Linked DNA regions of Caenorhabditis elegans. The protein of the gene in region 1 purifies or fractionates together with the protein of each later gene. This does not show direct contact. Each region holds a gene or a part of one and is shown in the gene's direction. Other genes may lie near its edges. The genes, in order: kin-1, sur-5, pold-1 and ZK856.7.

Region 1 (4,602 bases):
GTTCTCTGTCGATATTCCCGCTCACGTATCATATCATTACTATCAAGCTTGTTAGTTTTTTGTTATGATATATCCTGGAGAGTAATAGTTAATTTCAGCAATACAAGAAGGACCCATGTCTCCGCCATCATCTCGTCTTGCAAACTGTCTATCTTCTGTTGCATTCCCAGCATTGCAGGCAGCGTTGTCCACAATTTTGTGTGTCTGCAGTCTATTATTTGTTAACCTGTATATGGCAGAAGTGAGATTTTAGTATTCAAATTTTCAATCAAAACCACTCTTTTCAAGGTATTCGTGAAAACCATGGTGTTATGTGTAGTACTGTGCAATCTTCATGGTCTCGTGTTCTTACCTGCTATCTTGATTCTTTTGGATTCTATTCGATGGGCTTGTAGGCCTAAGGGTAAGAATTCACAAATGATTATTTTCTTGAGACAAAGAAAATTTAAGGTGCTGCTGCACAACGTCCAAAGCAGCCAAAAACCAATTCTCGCCAGAAACAGAAAAACGACAAAGTTCAGCCGGAAAAGAGTGTGGTCACTGATCGACCGGAAATCTAAAAAAAACCATTAATTATATTTCTTTTTAACTTCTCCACCTATTAATCTCATGACACAAACCTCTGTTCCATTTGAGTTTCCCGTTTCCTTCCAGTTTTCTGAAAATATTCGTCCCCACCAAAAAGTCCGGGTTTTTATAGTGTTGCCCAAGTTTTCATTTTTCGTGTTTTTTGTTTTTGTGTACATTTTGTGCTTTGCTGATCATACCTATTAGAAATTTTCAAAGTGAAGAATTGATTTTTTTCCGGTGATTTTCCGACATCTTCTTGAGTTTCATTTTGCCAAGCTAGAAATAAAAGCATTGAAAATATACTTGAAAACAAACGGAAAGGTTTTTAGATTTCAAACAATAAAAATAAAATCTAATATCATAGTGAATTTTCAAAAAATCTTGCAGTAAATATTGTAGCTGTTCCAGAAAATGTTGAAGCGTGCGTGTGCCTAAAGTGATACACTGGATTTACTATAAGGCTGCTGCAGCAAAAACAAGTCCCTGATGAAACTCAACTTCTTCCTTCCTTGAATTTTTATAAATAAAGTGCGTAATGCGTACTATCGTCATTCTTATGTAGCAAAAAGTAGCTATGAAACAACGTTTGAAAAATCTTGAAAAATCTGAAAATCTCAAACTAGTCATGCGTTCAAGTTTCTCTCGCGGTGCTCAAAAATTCATTGGGTAATAATACTCCGACATAAAAAACGAATTTTATGTTCTTCACCTGAATAGGACCAAAAGGGCTTTGTCATACTATTCTCCGTCCGTGGCCGTGTCCATTCTCAGTGTGTTCTTAAACAAACACTGAGAGTCGTGGAATGAAAGACACAGAGGGAGAGAGGGAGATGGCCGATCCTTTCTAAACGCGCACCTCCACACAGAGACACTCGCTCACAATACCGTTCTTCATCTTCGTTTATTTGTGTATGTTGTTCCCTTTCGCACCCTGAGTCTCACAAAAATATTGCACATACTAAACTACTAATCAGTTATTCCATTTATCCTTATCACGATGGACCCAAGCCCGTTGAAGAGAAGAAAAGTAGAGGATGGTGAAGATAGGATTTTGGCAAAATGCGAAAAAGCTGCTGACACTGTTGAAATTGTCGATCTATCGCCAATGCCATTACTAACTGACGAAGCTGGACCTTCAACCTCTACAAATGTTCAAGCATCACAATCACAGGAGCAATTACAACCACAGATGGATTTGAAACTTAGAGTGAGACTTTTATAACTACAGGTGGTGCTAGTTAATAAAAAGGCCTGTAAATTAAATTTTTCCTCGGATGTTTCTTGAATAAAATATAAAAAACTTGAAAGAAAATAATAAAAATCTAGGTCTAACAAACCATTATTTTTGATCGACGCTCATTTCTTTACGAAAATTGGTTATTGTTTGTAGTTTTATATTTCAATTTAATGTTCGGAACAATACAAATACATTTTAAGTAAAATGGAGTTCGATCGTAAACTAAAATTCTGCCAAAATCCGCGACCTTCATAATGCCGCAAAAATTGGAGCATTTGAGAACTTTTAAGTTTAAATTTTGCGTGTACCGCACACTCAGACCAGCCCACAAAAATGCCTGATTAGGGGTTATTGTTAGGTTAGGCGCAGCGAAGTAGGTTGCAAGTACTGGACGTTCTGTAGGTATGAAGGCATACATGAGCCTTTGTACCTGTATGAAATTGGAATTTAACAAGATTATATATTCAGTGAAATCTTCTTACCAATTCACCTACACTTCCAGGAACTCCTTCTTTCTTCACCAGCACATCTATTCGGGCTTCATACCATTCCCGCAAGTGGCTCAAACAGTCAGCAGCCAGACGACAACAACCCTCCACAGGCAGCTGTAACAAGTTGGGAAAACTGGTTATGCTTTTTGGCAACCAACTTATCACCAGCTCAGTGGCAGGTACTTTTTTCCAGATTTTTTTTTCAAAATAGAATCACCTCCCTTAGCGCATAGACGGCAATATTGGGAAAAACTACATTTTTCACAAATTTTTTTTTTTTGACTTTCCACGTGGCGAACAAAAGATAAATTCTAATTTCTAATAGTAAGTTTCACCGAATTTTGAACTTGTTTTAATTTAATTTAAATTCATTTCTGAATGTCATCGGTATCAAACGAAATGTAAGATTTTTCATCCAGTAATTTCAGCAATTATTTTTTTAAAGACATTTTTTTACTGGCGAAATGAGGAAAAACTTCTCAACCCTGATGGAAATAAAGTGTTCTGACAAAACAGAGACTATTGTTGTAACGTGCATTTTGAAGAAATTTATTGCGGGAAAAAATCTCTCAAAACTGCGCAACAATATAATTTTTTATTCCTTCTACCAAAAATAAAATGCAAGTATTTCAGGGCTACTGGCTTGCACATTGTGCATTATTTGGAGATCAAGCAGTTCCCGTTCATCTCCTCAGCTTCTTCCAAGGACACATCTCACCGTCGTCTTCTTCATCGCCAACATCCACGCAATATTTGACAATTGGACCACAACCAAATGACGAGATTCAGGAAAGATATGGTACGCTTTTTAAAAAGATTATTTGATGGGGGATAAGTATGAGAAAGAGTCATAAATAGGTAGGTTATTTTTTGAAAGTATTTATATTATCGTACAATTATCTGCGTATTATTGAACGCCAAATCATTCTGTAACTAGAGTTTGATCGCAATTCATCGAAGTTTTGCTTCAGAACTGTAATATTTCCTTTATTGACGCGAATATAGTTGGAAAATTTGCTAATACAGTCCTTGGTTTCTTTGGTTTCAGTTTGGTTCTATGATAAATATTAATATCTATCGTTTGTCGACTTCTTCCGCTGAGCGAGCATCTGGCAGAAGTAAGCTATGCAATCTCATTTTTGAACGTGCCGTTTTAGTTGTACAATCAATTCACTAGTATTCGAAATCGTGCATCCAACTTTATTATAAAGGGTTTTATCTACATAATATGGATGTAGGTACATTGTTATTTTTGCATTACATTTGAGCTTTTTTTTTGCTTACATTTGAGCATTTGGTTTATCCTGCTATCCTTTCGTGTTTACGCCATATTTTCAAGCTCCTCTCTTTCTTCTTCAGTCTATTTTGCAGAGTTCGGACTTTAAATGTGGGTACCTAAAGTTCATAGTATTATAATTTCCAACAACTCGAACTCCGAAATTCCTTTGCAAGTTCTGACAACTGACTCATTTAGCCTACAATTATAAAAGAGAGGGAGAAAGAGAAGCTGAAATATTTGTCTCCGTTTTTACTTCTTCTTTTTCTTCAATTTCACACCTTGTCTTGGCTGCCCGTGGCAACGTATTTACTCTCACTGCTTTTCATTTTTCTTCCATTTTATTCCTGTCAGGATTTCCCGCTCATAGTCAGTAGAAACATATGGTAGTTTCTATTACTGGTCAATTTTAATTGGTATAATTAATAATAAGTTTAACTCCCGCGCATGTGTATCACTGTTTTATTGGGAAATTGTCTAAATTTGAAAATCCAACAAATATGTTGGTTGGTTTCTAAAATTAAAATGTTTAAAACTCCTTTTACTTGATTTTTTTTTTCAGAAAAGTTGTTTTTTTTCTCTTTAAAAAATCTCCGTCTCTCACTATTTCTCTTATATTTCAAGCAGTCAACCTATGTCAAAATAAACTATCATTAGAGACACTGCTCCTGGAGAGTCACTACCACCACCACCTGCTCTTTTTATTTCTCTCTTGCTTTTCCACATAGGTATTACGAGGGCAACCGGGGGTTAAATAATCGAATCAATCATATGAAATTCCCATATTTGATTTTATTCATGGCCATAAATGGAATTTGTCTAAAAATCGATAAAGTGGATTTTTTATTATCTTATCAAAAAATTTAACCTCAAAACTTGTAGGTAGACACATTTTCTGGGTAACAATCAATTTTTTGTGACTGTAGACACAAGATAAAATAAGTCACCTAAAAAGATGTCAGTAGAAACCACAAGATGAGACATATACCCATAATTCCATCTTAAAAGTGACCCAATTCACGTGCAAT
Region 2 (6,302 bases), on another chromosome or scaffold:
TTGAACCCCAGAGTCCCACCATGCTTGTCATCCACTCTATCCACTCGGCCATCTCGCTGTTGCAGGCAGTACTAATTGGGGATAGTGAAAAGAGTTAACGTAGAATTTCAGACGTAAAAATTTCAGATTTCCAGCCCGAATGGGCCAAAATTTCAGTCATATTCTTATAGTAGAGAATGTCAGCTTTCCGATACAATATTTTTTTTTTGAATATCGCTCCACTTATTCTGGTCATTCCCTAGTAAGTTTTTTCAGTTTTACCAGAAATAAAACCACTCATAAAAACTATAAACTACACATTTAAACTGTAAATGTTGGAAATCATTTTGACCATCAAACAATAGCTATCGGAAAATGCAAAGGCCATTCCGTGATGGCACGCTCTTCTTCTATCCATCGCTCCTTTTCAACGAAACACACACACAAACGCAGACTATTGGAAAAGAAAAATATAGAAAAAACCTTTTTTCTCCTTGTCCCTTGTGTTGATCTCACTTTTCAGTGGACGTGTGCAGTGTGGAGGCCAGAGACTGTGCTGACCGACGGACGCGCAGGCGGTAAACATACGTTGCAGTGGAGAGTGTAGTCCCTCGTCGGCTCTCTGTGTATTTCTTTCAATGCCTGTGTCTCGGTCTATCTTTGTCTCTATCTGTTTTAAAAGTTTTTTGCAAAGTTTCAATTTCTTTTTTATTTTCTCTTCTTTTTTTGCGCATTTATTTTTTTTAAAGAGCGCTGTTCTTCAATTGGAAAACAGTATAACGATCGAAATAAAAAAAAAACTTGAAATAGTATCGGAATTGAGATGGGGGCAATTGAAATTGAAGACGCAACAAAAACATGTTTTTATCGTCTGAAATTATCTAAACTTTGAATCTAACGTGTCAATGGCTACTTTTACAGTAGACTTTTTAGAGTAATGTTAAAAAGGATAATATAGGTTTTTCTTCAAACTATTTTGTCACGCCGCATATATTCTTTTCATATTCCATTCGCAAAGTGCATGATGTAACAAAAATGAAACGTCATAATTTTTTAATCTTTCACACTTTTTTTGCCGGCCGTTAAATCAAAATCAAATCAACTTAATCCAACACGTGCGGGCTTGCAATTTTATTACACCGGTGTCCTACAGCGCCATGTTATCTTCTTTGATTAGAGATCTCTCACGCAACATTTGACATTGAAAATTTTGTCTCCGAATTGTTGTGTACCTACTTTGTCCCGATGTCCCAAATTTTCACTGATAACAAGAGATATCTCAACTGTTCTTATCACGTTGATACGTAGAACGTTTTACACTAAACCAAATTGCAGTCCCCTTCTACGAACCGTTTGCTAATTGTTTTGCATAGAACAGTGATCAATGTGTTGTGCTCACTAGTCAATGATGTTCGTCTCTCATTTTTCCTACAACTTCACTGAAAAGGTTTTGAATATCTGGTGATTGTAGGCAATCACACCACAGTTAATGGCCTGGCAAATAATGATAAGCGTGTGATAAACCTCACAAAAATACGCCTAGAAGTGGTGATATCGCTAGTTTTGTGTCCTTTCGATTTTTTTCGTGTTGCTTTTTTCTGTGGATAAACCTTTGAACTTTACATTTTGTTTTCAGAATGACCGCAGTGTCTGCAAACGGAAAAACTACCGAAAAGCACGAAAATGGTGCTCACACCAATGGAACGACAAATGGAACGACGAATGGATCAATGAATGGAAATGAAATAAGCCATGTTCAGAAACTTCAGCCAGTTTATTACAAGCCGCCACAAAATTTGGAAACTTTTGAATTGTCACTCAGAAATCATTTTGAAGAGAAAACAAATAAGAAATTTGGTAATTTTTTATTTAGTAAATCATAGGTTTCAATTTTAACTCTTGATTAATTTGAAAAATCGACCTCAAATAACTGCTATTTAATATTTAACTGAAACTGTGAGCAACTAGATTTTGAAAAATGCAAAATATTCATAACATCCACATTTTTAAGCTGACTACCGTGAATTTCACCGATTCACTTGTGATAATTATGGTATTTTCTGGGAGGATTTGCTCAAATTGTCCGATGTGAAGCTTCATCAAAACTACAACCAGGTATGGTATTGGGAAACTTGTTTCCACTTCCTGGAACATTAATTTTTTATGTGTAACAGCTCGGAAACAAACAAAGTATTTTTAGGTTATCGATCATAATTTGAAAATCAACGAGAGACCGAGATGGTTCAATGGTGCTACTCTCAACTATACTGAAAATGTCATCGAAAGAGGAACCGCCACCGATATTGCTGTATTGAATGCCAGTAAGTGTTTCATGTTCCAAACGTTTATTTATCAAACAAAATTCAAGGTATCGAAGAAACAGTGACAGAATATACTTACGACAACTTGCGCAAAGATGTTTATCGCATTGCCACATCTCTTCGTAACTATGGAATCGGACCCGGAGACACTGTTTGCGGCTTTGTTCCAAACACATATGACACACTGGTGGCTGTTTTTGCCACAGCCGCTGTCGGAGCTGCCTGGTGCTCAGCGTCTGTTGATTTTGGACCTGCTGGTGTTCTTGACAGATTCAGACAAGTTCACCCCAAGGTTTTGTTCACAGTGAATCATGTGACTTACAAGAAGAAGCTCATTGATCAGACCGATAAAATTAATGAAATTGTAAAAGGTTGGTTACTTTTGTCAAATAAGAATTTAAAACAATGGTATAACTTCCAGAGCTCCCAACTCTCGAGAAAATCGTTGTATCCGACACCTTCACATCTGTAAAATTCGATGCAACAAAGTACAATCAAAGTGACAAGTTCTCATCACTCGAAGAATTCAAGACTCCCATTGCCGATGTTGTGTTGCCATTTGTATATACTCCAGTATGATTAAGATTTGAAACATTCAAAGCATGTGGATTTTTAGGTACCATTTTCCGATCCACTCTTCGTAATGTTTAGCTCAGGAACCACGGGAATTCCAAAGGCAATGGTTCACACGGTCGGAGGAACCTTGCTCAAGCACATTGAGGAGCATTTGGTGCAAGGAGATTCAAAGAAACACGATCGTATGTTTTTCTACACTACATGTGGATGGATGATGTATAATTGGTGAGATTTTGTTTTAATTAAAATTGTATTTTAATCAGCAAGAAAATACAATTTAAATAATATTAGAACACCGTAGAAACTGTCCCCTGAAATGTTTTTTTGTATTTATGTAATAATGAACTGTTGGATAAGCTTTAAAATATTGATTTTTTCTAGAGACAAAAATAATTTCCGAATAAATATTCACAGGTTGCTTTCAAGAAATAAAACATTTTGGCAATTCGCCGCAACTTTGCAACCGTTCAGTAACCTTTGGTAGTTCTTAGTGCAAATGCTTGGATGTTCCATCTTTAACTTTGTTCACTTTTGCAACTTTTTTGATTGGCGCTGCTGAAATTGATCACGAGTTTTCGGCAAATTGCTAAGATTGTACTTATTCACAATTTCAAAAATATATAACTTTAATTTTTAACATTTCAGGATGATCTCGTTCCTATACTCCAAAGGATCTGTTGTATTATTCGATGAATGCCCATTGGCTCCTGACACCCATATTATCATGAAAATCGCTGCAAAGACACAATCGACTATGATTGGAATGGGTGCGAAGCTTTATGATGAATACCTCCGACTTCAAATTCCATTCAGTAAGTATATACATATAATTTTCCTCCATTCAACACCGTTAATATGATCAACGACTTTCAGACACATTGTACGACCTTTCCAAAATACACACAGTCTACTCGACAGGTTCGCCATTGAAGAAAGAGTGCTTCGCTTATATCAACACTTATATTGCGCCAGGCGTATGTTCTTATCTTGTTCTTTTGCAACCAAATATAACACAAAGTTTTTTTATAGGCTCTCATCGCGTCGATTTCTGGAGGAACTGACATTATTGGATGCTTTGTCGGTGGTATCAAGTCATTGTCAATCACGCCAGGAGAGTGTCAGTGTTTGTTCCTGGGAATGGATATTAAGTCATTCAATTACATGGGTACGTGCAAAATGAAATGTATAAAACAATTCGGAAAAAGCTAGAACGTTATGTCGAGAATTGTACCATTTAATACTGGGGATGAAAAAAGTGGTACTGGAAAAATTTTCAATATTGGCAGACCTCGGCAAATTGCGATGTATCTCAAAAATTCTTGAAACTCTAAAAATAAAACCATGAATAATAAATAGCATAATTGTATTTCCATCGTATTTTCCAAAATCAAAAAAAAATGCCGAAATCGGTAAGACGTGCAAAAAATTGAAAAAATTGCCGAGCGCGGCAACTTCTTAATGCCCACTTTTTTTAAAAATTTTGCACAGAACCCTGGCGATTGAATAGGTGTTCGATCTTTATAAGAATAATAGGTCCATATGACAATAGGGATTACAGGCCCATATCCCAGGCGAACAACAGCAGTGTTGCAAACAAATATACATACTTTATAATGTTTATAAATAACTTTCAAAGTAGTTTTCAACATTTTTCGAAAAGTTGCGAAGAAAGATAGATCAACTTTTTTCTCCAAAAAGTATCCGAATTGCAGATGAAGAAATCATTAACTCTGACGAACAAGGAGAGTTAGTGTGTGTCACCCCATTCCCCTCAATGCCATCACATTTCTTGAATGACACGGATGGCAAGAAGTACCGTGATGCCTACTTTGCTCGCCTAGAACCATTTTGGGCTCATGGTGATTTTGTGAGAGTGAATCATTCTACGGGCGGTGTAGAAATGCTCGGAAGAAGTGATGCTACATTGAATCGCGGCGGAGTTCGAATTGGAACAGCTGAGATTTATTCGGTTGTTGAAAAAATTCCACATATTGCTGATTGCATTGTAGCTGGAAGACTTGTGTAAGTTGATCATTATGCATATTTAGAGTTTTTATTTTGCTAATAGGTATGTCACTTACTCATTCTCTTCTTTATATTAAGCTAGTTTTAATTACTTTTCTCTATTCTGCAAATAGAAATAAACAGGTCGTTGATAAATTAACTTATATTTTTTATTCTCTAGTATGGCAGAACAAACATAAGAACATTTTTTTTCCAGCGAAGAGGGCATGGACGAGGAAGTTTTGCTGTTTGTGAAAATGGTTCCGGGTCAAGAGCTCACACACAGTATCCAGGCAGCCATTGTTTCTAAACTCCGGAACGACATGTCCCCGCGACATGTTCCAAACAAAATTTACGCAGTTGATGATATTCCGGTAGCTATTTACGATTGAGATATTTGTAAAAACTTTGTTTTTTCAGTATACTTCAAGCGGAAAGAAAGTGGAAGTTGCCGTTAAGCAAATTGTGAGTGGAAAGGCCGTCCAGAAAGCGTCTTCGATTCGCAATCCAGAATCTCTTGATCATTTCGTTCAATACAGACTTTAATCTTTAATTTTATTTCAACGGTTTATTTGTTTCTGTTTCTGAAAATTATATATTCACGCTTTCCTTCTTGCTCATTGCCTGAACCTGTTTTTCTCATTCATGTCATCATCAACATCAATTTTTGAGCTTTGTGGTCCTTTACATTCTCACCTTCAAATCTAATTTAAAACTTTGTGTTAATTCATTCATATTTCCCCTTATGTTAGCACCCAGGTTTTCTTTATTTGCACCGGTTTCTCTCTCACTCCCCAACGAAATAACTCTGATTTCACTGTTCCGTCGTCATCAAAAAATAAATCCCTGTGAAATACTTTGAAAGAGGAAGAAAATTTAATGGTTTCATTATCATTAAGGAATAAACATTTTGCACTAGATGATATTTTGGGCATGTCCTCAAAAACGTTAAAATGAAGACCGTCATTGAAATAGTAGGAAATATTTTCAAAATTTCAAAAGAAAGTATTGTAAAGGTACGAGCCTAAAATGTATAAAATTAGAAGAGTTTGTTCCCATGTAAAATGTGGACATTTCTGACTCTAAAATTCTATGTTTGCTTTTGGAACACTTTATGTTACATAACACACAAATTGGAAAACAATTGCTTGAAACAGATTCAGTTGTCTTGTAATTCATTACACATTTCATTTTAATGTGATTTTGAGATAGTTAACATTTGCAAAATTGTTTTTAAAGTTTTGCAAAGATAAAAATGCATGGATAAAATAAGTACCTAGGATAAATAAATGCATAGAAAATCGGTAAAGCTAAATTTCTGAATAAGGAGTGTTTACTTTTGAGCTCCTTTTCAACAAACTTGATTTTCAAAATCACAAGTAACATCCTTGGTTTGTCCCCTTCGTCCATCTTTGTGTGTTT
Region 3 (6,168 bases), on another chromosome or scaffold:
AACTTTTTGTGTCATCGAGTTGTTAGACAAATATTTCCGCGGCGGTTCGGTTCGGGAGACCACCACCTCCACCACCGCAGACGGTATTGAATTGGAGGGGAGCAACACAAGGACACACGATGAATGGCCTGACGAAGAGGGGCACAATAGGGGCTCTCCTTCTCCGTCGCCGCCGCCGCAGTCGACAGTCTTTCTCTGTTTCTTTCCTGTCTTTTCCATCACTTTCCTCCGGACGTCGTCATCGTTGTCCCGGTCACTACCTTAACCACCAGGCTGTTTGTGTTCAATTACCTGCGGGCGTTTTGTGTATGTTCGCGTCTGTATGTGAGAGATGAGGATGAAAAAGACAGAAAGAGAGAGAGACTAAGAACACGCTGTAATTACACAGCAACCTCATCCTCTGGATAATACTGACCGCCAGTGTGTCGTGTCAACAAGTCGGCTTAAATTATGAAGTAATTAGTCGCTCGTTCGTGGGTTATAGAATGGACTGTCCAGAATGAATTGACACGACATACTTTTTAATAATTCTTTACAGATGAAGGAGAATTCAGTGGCCGATCCTACATTTCTTCCACGTGTTACAAAATGTCATTTTAGAACGCTCACTCTCACAGAAATAAAGCAAATTCACTTTCTAGACAAAGCGAGTCAAACGGCAACTTTCATCTTGAAGTCAGGTCCACACAAGTACAAAACTTCAGCCAAGCTATGGAAGTTTTAAAGTTTAAACCCTGGAATTTCACTAGATTGTAACCAGAACTATACTTTGCAGAGATCACTGGAAGAAAAAGCTTGAACTATTTAAATTTTTATGCGATATTTTCAAAATGAAGAATTGCGTCATTAAACTTGACTCCAGCAAAACGATCAAAAGTTTCCCAATTCAAACAAACAAAACGCTCTCGAAAAAAACGAGCCGATCATCTTGCATCTTCCTCTTTGTAGTCAAATTTGAATTCGCAATTTCTCACTTTGATAATATCGAAATATTTATAAAAATTTCAGACGTAATATTTTAAACAGATTTATCTTGAAAACTACTCACCTTCGGTAGTTGAAGCTCGCTGTCACTCAGATCTTCTCTAACGTCGCCGTGTATTGAGTGATCCGATCCATAATCGAGCTCGTCGTCCATGTCTCTGCTGAAATAAATAAAATTTAGATACATTTAAACTGTTATGCACAATGAAGACAAGGGAGAAAAGTTCAACAATGAATAAATATATTTTTCAATGATCGAAAAGAGTTTGAAGAAGGCGTTCAATATATCTCGCAACAATAACTATTTTAAACGAGTAGAAAATGTTCAAAGGACGGTAAATATGCTTTTCGCGCAATAAAACTCGAGAGCTGAAAGCAAAAAGTCGAGATTGAACAAAATAAGGTAATACAAATTTATCATAGCGCATTAGCTTGATTTTTCGAAAAAAAAAACATATAAAAGAATGCGAGGAAATAGTGGCCAGGTTTTTCTCAGTGAAAAACGCTTCCAAACAAAACCGTAAAATCGATTGGCCCAAAAAACAGATTTCAAACAGCGCGGTAGAAATGTTTTTGCAGTGGAGCGCACATTCGCTACCCAAAATGCGCGGCAAAACAAAGCGAAAAGATTTGGAAATAAAAAAAATTGACTTTCAATTCTTATTTTATTGTTTTATTTATTGATTATCACAATCTAAACGGATTTTCGATGTTATGAAACTTTAAATTCCCACCTAATCGCCTTAATTCTCTCCCTATTAAATCTTTAAACGTTTGTTCAGACAAAAAAACGATTCGCGGCGTTTCGTTTGAGCACGTTTACATTACTATTTTGACAAACAATTTCTTTCTACTTTCATAGTTTATTTATTGTTCTAATGCTGAGTTTTATCAGAAATGACCTCCAAGCGTCCTGGCGGGAGCTCGTTTCAACCAGAAGTGAAGCGAAAGCGTGAAAGTGACGAATTCGAGCAGTGTTACGTTGTAAGTTTTTCATATTATGATTTCAAGCTTTTAAAAATTGCATTTTTTATTTTTAATGATCACTAACCATTTATTTTCAGTCAAGATTCGAAAATGAACTTCCATCTGTACCAACGATTGATAAAACAGGATGGGCCAGGCCAGCAGTCGATAAAGATCTCGGAATTAGCAAAAGCATTGCGTGTCAGATCTTAGAGGTCGAAACGTATCATGAAGACGGCTCTGCAACATCTTACGACAGAACAAATGTGAAGTTGTATGGTGTAACCAAATCTGGAAATTCGATTTGTGTCATTGTGACTGACTACTTTCCACATTTTTATTTCCAGGTAATCTAAGCTTTAAAAAATAAGTATTGGTAATATTTCTTACAGGCACCACAAGGATTCGGTGTCGAGCACATTGGAACTGCACAATCTGCAATTTGCAATATGGTTGCTGCAGCAAAACGCCGAGGTGGTAGCGGTCAAGCTCAATTGCCTGGAAAAGTAGTTGATAATCTTGTTCATGTGGAGATAGTTCACGGAGAGAATCTTTATTACTTCCGCGGTGCTGATACGAAAGTTCCTTTTGTCAAGGTGTCAGGATCTACAGAAGCTCTTCACAAAGCGCGAATGGAATTGAAAAATGGAGTTAACTTGATGGGAAAGGGTCCTGTGAACGTTGGGAATTTATACGAGTCAAATATTAATGTGATTGTCATGTTCTTGGCGAAAACGAATATTGTTGGATGTGGCTGGATTGAGGTTTTGACAATATTAGTTTTTTTTTAATTCTTTATGATTTCAGATTCCTGCTGGAAAGTGCCGAATTCTTTCAAACAGTGAAAAGTCGTCTCGTTGTCAAATAGAAGTCACAGTTCCGGTCAAAAACCTGATTGTTCATGAAAGTGATGGTGAATGGGCTGGAATTGCTCCTATTCGGTAAGTTTGAAAGTTTGAACTTACTTTTGAAAAAATAACTTTTTTAGTACTTTGTCTCTGGATATCGAATGTATTGGTCGACGTGGAGTGTTTCCCGAAGCAATTAAAGATCCTATTATTCAAATAGCTAATCTTGTGAAAATCGAAGGTGAAGCAGAACCATTTGTTCGTAATTGTTTCGTTCTTGGAACATGTGCACCGGTCGTCGGTTCAAATATCATTCAATGTGTGAATGAAAAAGTTCTTCTCGAAAAGTGGGCTGAATTTGTTCGTGAAGTGGATCCCGACATTATCACTGGATATAACATTCTCAATTTTGATCTTCCATACATTCTGGATCGTGCTAAAGTTCTATCACTGCCACAAGTTTCTCATCTTGGTCGTCAGAAAGAAAAAGGCTCAGTTGTAAGAGATGCTGCAATATCATCGAAACAGATGGGAAGTCGAGTGAACAAGAGTATCGATATTCACGGAAGAATTATTTTTGATGTACTTCAAGTTGTACTTCGGGATTACAAACTCCGAAGTTATACACTCAATAGTGTCTCATATCAATTTTTATCCGAACAAAAAGAAGATGTGGAACATAATATTATTCCTGATTTACAACGAGGAGATGAACAAACTAGGAGGCGATTGGCTCAATATTGTTTGAAAGACGCATATCTTCCTCTTCGTCTGCTTGATAAATTAATGTCAATTATTAATTACATCGAAATGGCTAGAGTCACCGGAGTTCCTATGAATTTCTTACTGACAAAAGGTCAACAAATCAAGGTAAATCAAAATATATTTTAAATTATAATACTGAAATTGTTGTAGATTCTATCAATGATGCTACGAAGATGTAAGCAGAACAATTTCTTCTTACCGGTAATTGAAGCCAATTCTGGGGATGGTGAAGGATACGAAGGTGCTACTGTCATTGATCCGATTCGAGGATTTTACAATGAACCAATTGCAACACTTGATTTCGCTTCTCTATATCCATCCATTATGATTGCTCATAATCTCTGTTACACGACACTTTTAAAATCCCCACAAGGAGTTGAGAATGAGGATTATATTCGGACACCATCTGGCCAATATTTTGCAACCAAATCTAAGCGCCGTGGGCTTCTTCCCGAGATTCTCGAGGATATTCTGGCTGCAAGAAAACGAGCGAAGAACGATATGAAAAACGAGAAAGACGAGTTCAAAAGAATGGTTTACAATGGACGACAATTGGCGCTTAAAATCTCTGCAAATTCTGTTTATGGTTTCACTGGTGCAACTGTTGGAAAGTTGCCATGTCTCGAGATTTCTCAATCAGTTACAGCTTTCGGAAGAAAAATGATTGACATGACGAAACTCGAAGTGGAGAGAATTTACAAAAAAGGAGCTCTCGATGGAAAATGTCCAGCAGATGCGAAAGTTATTTATGGCGATACAGATTCTGTAATGGTGAAATTCGGTGTCGAAACTGTAGCTCAAGCAATGGAAATTGGACTCGATGCTGCTAAAGAAGTCAGCAAGATTTTCACTCCGCCGATCAAACTTGAATTCGAGAAAGTTTACTCCCCATATTTACTTATTAACAAAAAGAGATACGCTGGCCTTTACTTCACTAAACCGGATGTTCATGACAAGATGGATTGTAAAGGATTAGAAACTGTTCGCCGTGATAACTGCCCTCTGGTTGCAAAAGTTCTCGGTGTTTGCCTCGAGAAATTACTAATAGAAAGAGATCAACAATCTGCTTTGGATTTTGCGAAACGGACAATTAGTGACTTGCTCTGCAATAAAATTGATATCTCATTGTTGATTATCAGTAAGGAATTAACAAAGTCTGGAGATGTAAGTTCGATTTCAAAACCTTACGAAACTAATTGATTATGTTCAGAAATATCAAGCAAAGCAAGCTCACGTTGAGTTGGCGGCTCGTATGAAGAAAAGAGACGCTGGAAGTGCACCAAGACTTGGAGATAGAGTTCCATATGTTTTTGTCGCTGCTGCAAAAAATGTTCCGGCATACGAACGAGCTGAAGATCCAACTTTTGTACTTCAAAATAACATTCCATTGGACACCAAACACTACTTGACTAATCAACTCGCCAAACCACTTGCCAGAATTTTCGAGCCCATCTTGGGTGATAGAGCAGAAAAGATTCTGGTGGAAGGAGAACATACAAGAGTTCGTACAGTCGTTCAGAGTAAAGTTGGAGGTCTTGCAGCGTTCACAACGAAATCTGCAACTTGTCTTGGTTGCAAGAGTGTTTTACCAAGAGCAGAATCAGAGAACGCAGTTTGCAAACACTGTGAGCCGAAGCTTCCAACGATTTTTGCTTCTAGGTAATTAGAAATGCAATAATTGTTCTACTATATTTTTCATTTCAGAATGAACACTATGCACGAACTTGAAAACCATTTTGGTCGCCTCTGGACCGAATGCCAAAATTGTGCAAAGACTATGCAAGACAAAGTGAATTGCTCGGCTCGAGACTGTCCGATCTACTATATGAGGGAAAAAGTTCGAAACGAGCTATCGGAGGCAAGTGCCGTCATCGAACGATTTGGAGATCCTTGCTTCCAGGCACCTACTAAATGAATTAATTATGATCCCGGTTTATTTGTCTAATTATTATTGACTGTGAATGATCTTACCACACTATTCATCTCATCACACATTTTTCTTTATTACTGGTTATCTTATAAACTCGCGTTGATGATTAAAACATATGTTTTTAATTCTTTAAACTTTTTTGTAAGCGATAATCGCTTAAAATACTTGTCTGATATATTAAATTTGAATTTAAAATACCACAATTTTCAGATGATCACTCGAAAAGCAATATTCTTTTTAGCATTAGCGTCAATTATTCAAGCATCAGATGATTCCGAAGCTCCCGATAATAAAAAGTCTTCAATAAGATTCACTCCATCAGTTATTGATTCTTATAGAGAAAAAGTTCAAAAAATGTTCTACCACGCCTACAACGGATATTTGGATCATGCATTTCCACTAGATGAACTGAAACCAATAACATGCGTTGGACAAGACACCTGGGGATCATTCTCTCTTTCATTAATTGATGCTCTAGATACTCTTCTGGTGATGGGAAATACAACCGAATTCCGAAGAGCAGTGTCACTTGTTCTTGAGAAAGCTCGTGATGATGCTAATGTGAATGTTTCTGTTTTCGAGACGAATATCAGAGTTGTTGGCGGATTAATATCTGCACATATGCTAGCGGGAAGGCATAAAGGTAATTTAAATTTCACAAGGAATATTACTAAA
Region 4 (2,929 bases), on another chromosome or scaffold:
ACAGAATGACAAATTCATTAGCATGCAGTTAAAAATAAAGAGGAAATGAGTTGAATGGCAATGGAACTCCATTATAATCTTTTTGCACCACAACTTGAAATCAATGGGACAATCTAAATCCCGATAAATAGAAATAATTGTAAACCAAAAATATACACCGTTTATTTACAATGATGATGTAAAAATTATGTCACAATAATAGTAGTTTAATCGGAAAAAAACACATTATTCGTATTTGAATCAGCCCACAAATATTCGTGCGGAGTTTCAAGACCAGTTCGTTGAAACTTGAATTTGAATAATCGGATGCTGGATCGTGACTCAATAATTTAGAATGACGTCAGATTCTATGGCAACTAATTTACTTTGTAGATTAGTCATGTACAGATCCCCGAAAATTTGGTTTTAAGACCTGAAATAAGATCTTCAGTTCATTCGATTTATTTTCAAAACATTGTTGAAATCAGGACCAAGGAAGTAAATGAATAAAACTAGATATTTATTAGATAACCGTCGGAGGATCAGAATTCTGATCAACACTTTTGGCACAACAGTATTTCAAAGTGAAGAGCTCATTTCTCTCTTTTGTACCCTTTCCTGAAGTTAAATTATCATCTTCAGACAAAATATCATTCTTCCATTACTGTTTTCATAAGACAATTAAATTTTTTATACTGGCATAAAATTTTTGTCTAACTCTCAAAAACTAGTCTATCTCTCTACTGTAACCGAACAACAACAAAACACCAAAAGATTAGAAAAACTAGAGTCACACACGTGGTGTACTTTATTTTTGTGATTTTTGTGACAACAATAAGAGAACATATACCAGTTTTCAATATTCGGCTTCATGGAATACTGTAACGCGTTAACCTTTAAATTGTGAAATCTGATTAAACATGGAAGATTGTGTTGAATATGAAATTTGGAAAAGAAATACTCGGGAACAGTATTTAAAAGTTCAAAATATACATAAAATGATCGTTTAGGTTCGAGCCTACATCGTCGAATATCGTATTAAATTACTTATGTTTTTATTGGTAAATTGCCAAATTCTAGAAATTTCTAGCATGTTCGAGCCCATGTTCAGATGCTTAGATATAATTAATAGAAATACAAATCGACTAGAACAATCGTAAAAAATTGTTTTATTTTGAAGTTTTTCTATGTCGTAATATTAACTTTTAATGACAGTTCATTTTCTTTCAGTCGCGGGGTGCTCATTCTTTTGCATTGTTAAATTGATAAAATACTTAAAATGTCGATACAACATGTAGGTGCTAAGATGTGTGCATGCGATGCATGAGTAGCTTCCCGAAGATCACCTAGTCCAACTATGCCTTCTTTACTAGCCCAAATGTTAATTGACATCGTGTGAACGTAGTGTTAGGATGTCACCAGTTACGCATGCCTACGTCTGTAGGCTCTTGTGCTCCTACATGGTATACTTAGTATGAATACAGATATCAGTGCCGATCCTTGAAAATGTGAGAATGTGGTCGTCAAAACAAAATTCACAAATGACACACCAATTGCTTTTTCGTTTAGTCGGTGTTTGTTTGAAAACAAAACTGATTCAATGCTTCATTCATTTGTCTTCTTCTTTTTGATTTACTTTATCGTTGTTTTGTGTAACAACACCAAGGCTCTCAAGGACAGCCCGTATCGATCGCAATTCGGCCGCTGTGGCAGACTACCCATTCACCACTGCGACCGATAGACCGACTACTACCTGTTTATACCCAATTATTCGTTCTCATGTTTCTTTTTATCCTTTTTACTGTTGAATTACCAACAGTTGAACAATCAAAATATTTTCTATAATAACAAAATTTCTCTTCCTCCATTCTTTGTACCTTTCCAATGTATTTCTTTTGTGAGAACACCAACGTTGCTGATATTTTGCCATATCAATAGAACCATTGTAGTCTACAGTATACTTTTTTAGAATGCGTGTCGCAGTTATTCTTCTGTTCTTTTTATCTGTCGCTCTCGCATGTGACATCATTGTTCATTTGAAATCGGACACAGACAAGAAATTCAGCGGACAAATTGTTGCCAGCAATGGAAAGAAATCTGAAAGGTTTGTTCGGAGGACATCAATAGAAAAATTATGTTTTCTTTTTCAGATGGAGCTATTTGAAGAAGCTTCAGAAGAACACCTTCCAACAGAAAGCCGATGAATGTGGACTCAAGGATTGGGAGATTACTACTTGGGATGATGCTGGAAAGCCAGTTGCTACCGTAAAAGTCACTTTGGATGGAATTGGAAGAGTCACTTACAAGGTTGGAGATGATTTGAAGGCAGTTCAAAAGGATCGTCAAGGAGCCATCTGCAAGGGACAATGTGCTCCTTTGTAAATGTTTGAAAACTATTAATCAATGATAAAACTGATAAAACATTCATTTTTCTTTGTCAATTTTGATTTCACACGAAAATTGATAAACAACTTCTGAGATAGTTTGTGTCTTCAAGGCAAAATGGTGAGAAGTGACAAAAATTATGTACAGGTAAGAGAAAATGGCAAACTGAAAACGAGACTAGCAGGGGAATTTCTTGTAAAAGCTTAGTTTAGGAATCGAATCGACATCTTCTCCTCAATATCAGTTTTTTCCATTGCTCGACAAAACTCATCAAAAGAAATTTTTCCATCACGATCTGCATCAGCTTCCTCAATCGTTCGATCAGCAATCTTGTCGAGTTGATCAGAAGTTATATTGGCACCAACCATACTGTTCAGAATGACTTTGAATTCTTCACGTGTGATGTAGTCGTTTTTATTTAAATCGTACATTTTGAACGCAACTGAAATAAAATTAAATAATTAAAAACTTGAAAGAATAATCTTACAAAGCAATTTGTCTTTTCTCGAGTTGAGAGCATTTTTCTTTACTCTTGAAATCGGTTGAAAGTGTGCAAGAATTCGAA

What was found.
Region 2: the proteins of kin-1 (region 1) and sur-5 fractionate together in Caenorhabditis elegans (co-fractionation; one large-scale study listed by BioGRID). This does not show direct contact.
Region 3: the proteins of kin-1 (region 1) and pold-1 fractionate together in Caenorhabditis elegans (co-fractionation; one large-scale study listed by BioGRID). This does not show direct contact.
Region 4: the proteins of kin-1 (region 1) and ZK856.7 fractionate together in Caenorhabditis elegans (co-fractionation; one large-scale study listed by BioGRID). This does not show direct contact.

What each region holds. Positions count from the first base shown.
Region 1 is NC_003279.8:14,912,213-14,916,814, forward strand, and holds the start of kin-1 (cAMP-dependent protein kinase catalytic subunit), read left to right. Parts: upstream 1-1,553; 5' UTR 1,554-1,567; coding exon 1,568-1,777; intron 1,778-2,309; coding exon 2,310-2,477; intron 2,478-2,931; coding exon 2,932-3,097; intron 3,098-4,602. Other genes in the region: ptr-23 (SSD domain-containing protein), read left to right, coding at 1-50, 99-241, 289-403, 451-560. UniProt on the Caenorhabditis elegans protein: Essential for larval development. Controls the rhythmic contraction of enteric muscles probably by regulating G-protein coupled receptor aex-2-mediated calcium influx in GABAergic DVB neurons.
Region 2 is NC_003284.9:7,300,884-7,307,185, reverse strand, and holds sur-5 (Acetoacetyl-CoA synthetase), read left to right. Parts: upstream 1-1,615; 5' UTR 1,616-1,616; coding exon 1,617-1,836; intron 1,837-1,990; coding exon 1,991-2,094; intron 2,095-2,179; coding exon 2,180-2,300; intron 2,301-2,347; coding exon 2,348-2,671; intron 2,672-2,721; coding exon 2,722-2,873; intron 2,874-2,916; coding exon 2,917-3,101; intron 3,102-3,521; coding exon 3,522-3,688; intron 3,689-3,749; coding exon 3,750-3,850; intron 3,851-3,905; coding exon 3,906-4,041; intron 4,042-4,588; coding exon 4,589-4,898; intron 4,899-5,097; coding exon 5,098-5,254; intron 5,255-5,300; coding exon 5,301-5,426; 3' UTR 5,427-5,797; downstream 5,798-6,302. UniProt on the Caenorhabditis elegans protein: Activates acetoacetate to acetoacetyl-CoA. Negatively regulates let-60 Ras activity during vulval induction.
Region 3 is NC_003283.11:12,039,729-12,045,896, forward strand, and holds pold-1 (DNA polymerase delta catalytic subunit), read left to right. Parts: upstream 1-1,827; 5' UTR 1,828-1,881; coding exon 1,882-1,968; intron 1,969-2,048; coding exon 2,049-2,297; intron 2,298-2,342; coding exon 2,343-2,714; intron 2,715-2,757; coding exon 2,758-2,891; intron 2,892-2,938; coding exon 2,939-3,668; intron 3,669-3,713; coding exon 3,714-4,727; intron 4,728-4,773; coding exon 4,774-5,222; intron 5,223-5,267; coding exon 5,268-5,478; 3' UTR 5,479-5,619; downstream 5,620-6,168. Other genes in the region: Protein kup-1, read right to left, coding at 1,049-1,138; F10C2.5 (alpha-1,2-Mannosidase), read left to right, coding at 5,704-6,136. UniProt on the Caenorhabditis elegans protein: Possesses two enzymatic activities: DNA synthesis (polymerase) and an exonucleolytic activity that degrades single stranded DNA in the 3'- to 5'-direction.
Region 4 is NC_003283.11:10,200,150-10,203,078, forward strand, and holds ZK856.7 (uncharacterized protein), read left to right. Parts: upstream 1-1,948; 5' UTR 1,949-1,949; coding exon 1,950-2,083; intron 2,084-2,129; coding exon 2,130-2,361; 3' UTR 2,362-2,404; downstream 2,405-2,929. Other genes in the region: chpf-1 (EF-hand domain-containing protein), read right to left, coding at 2,568-2,806, 2,852-2,929.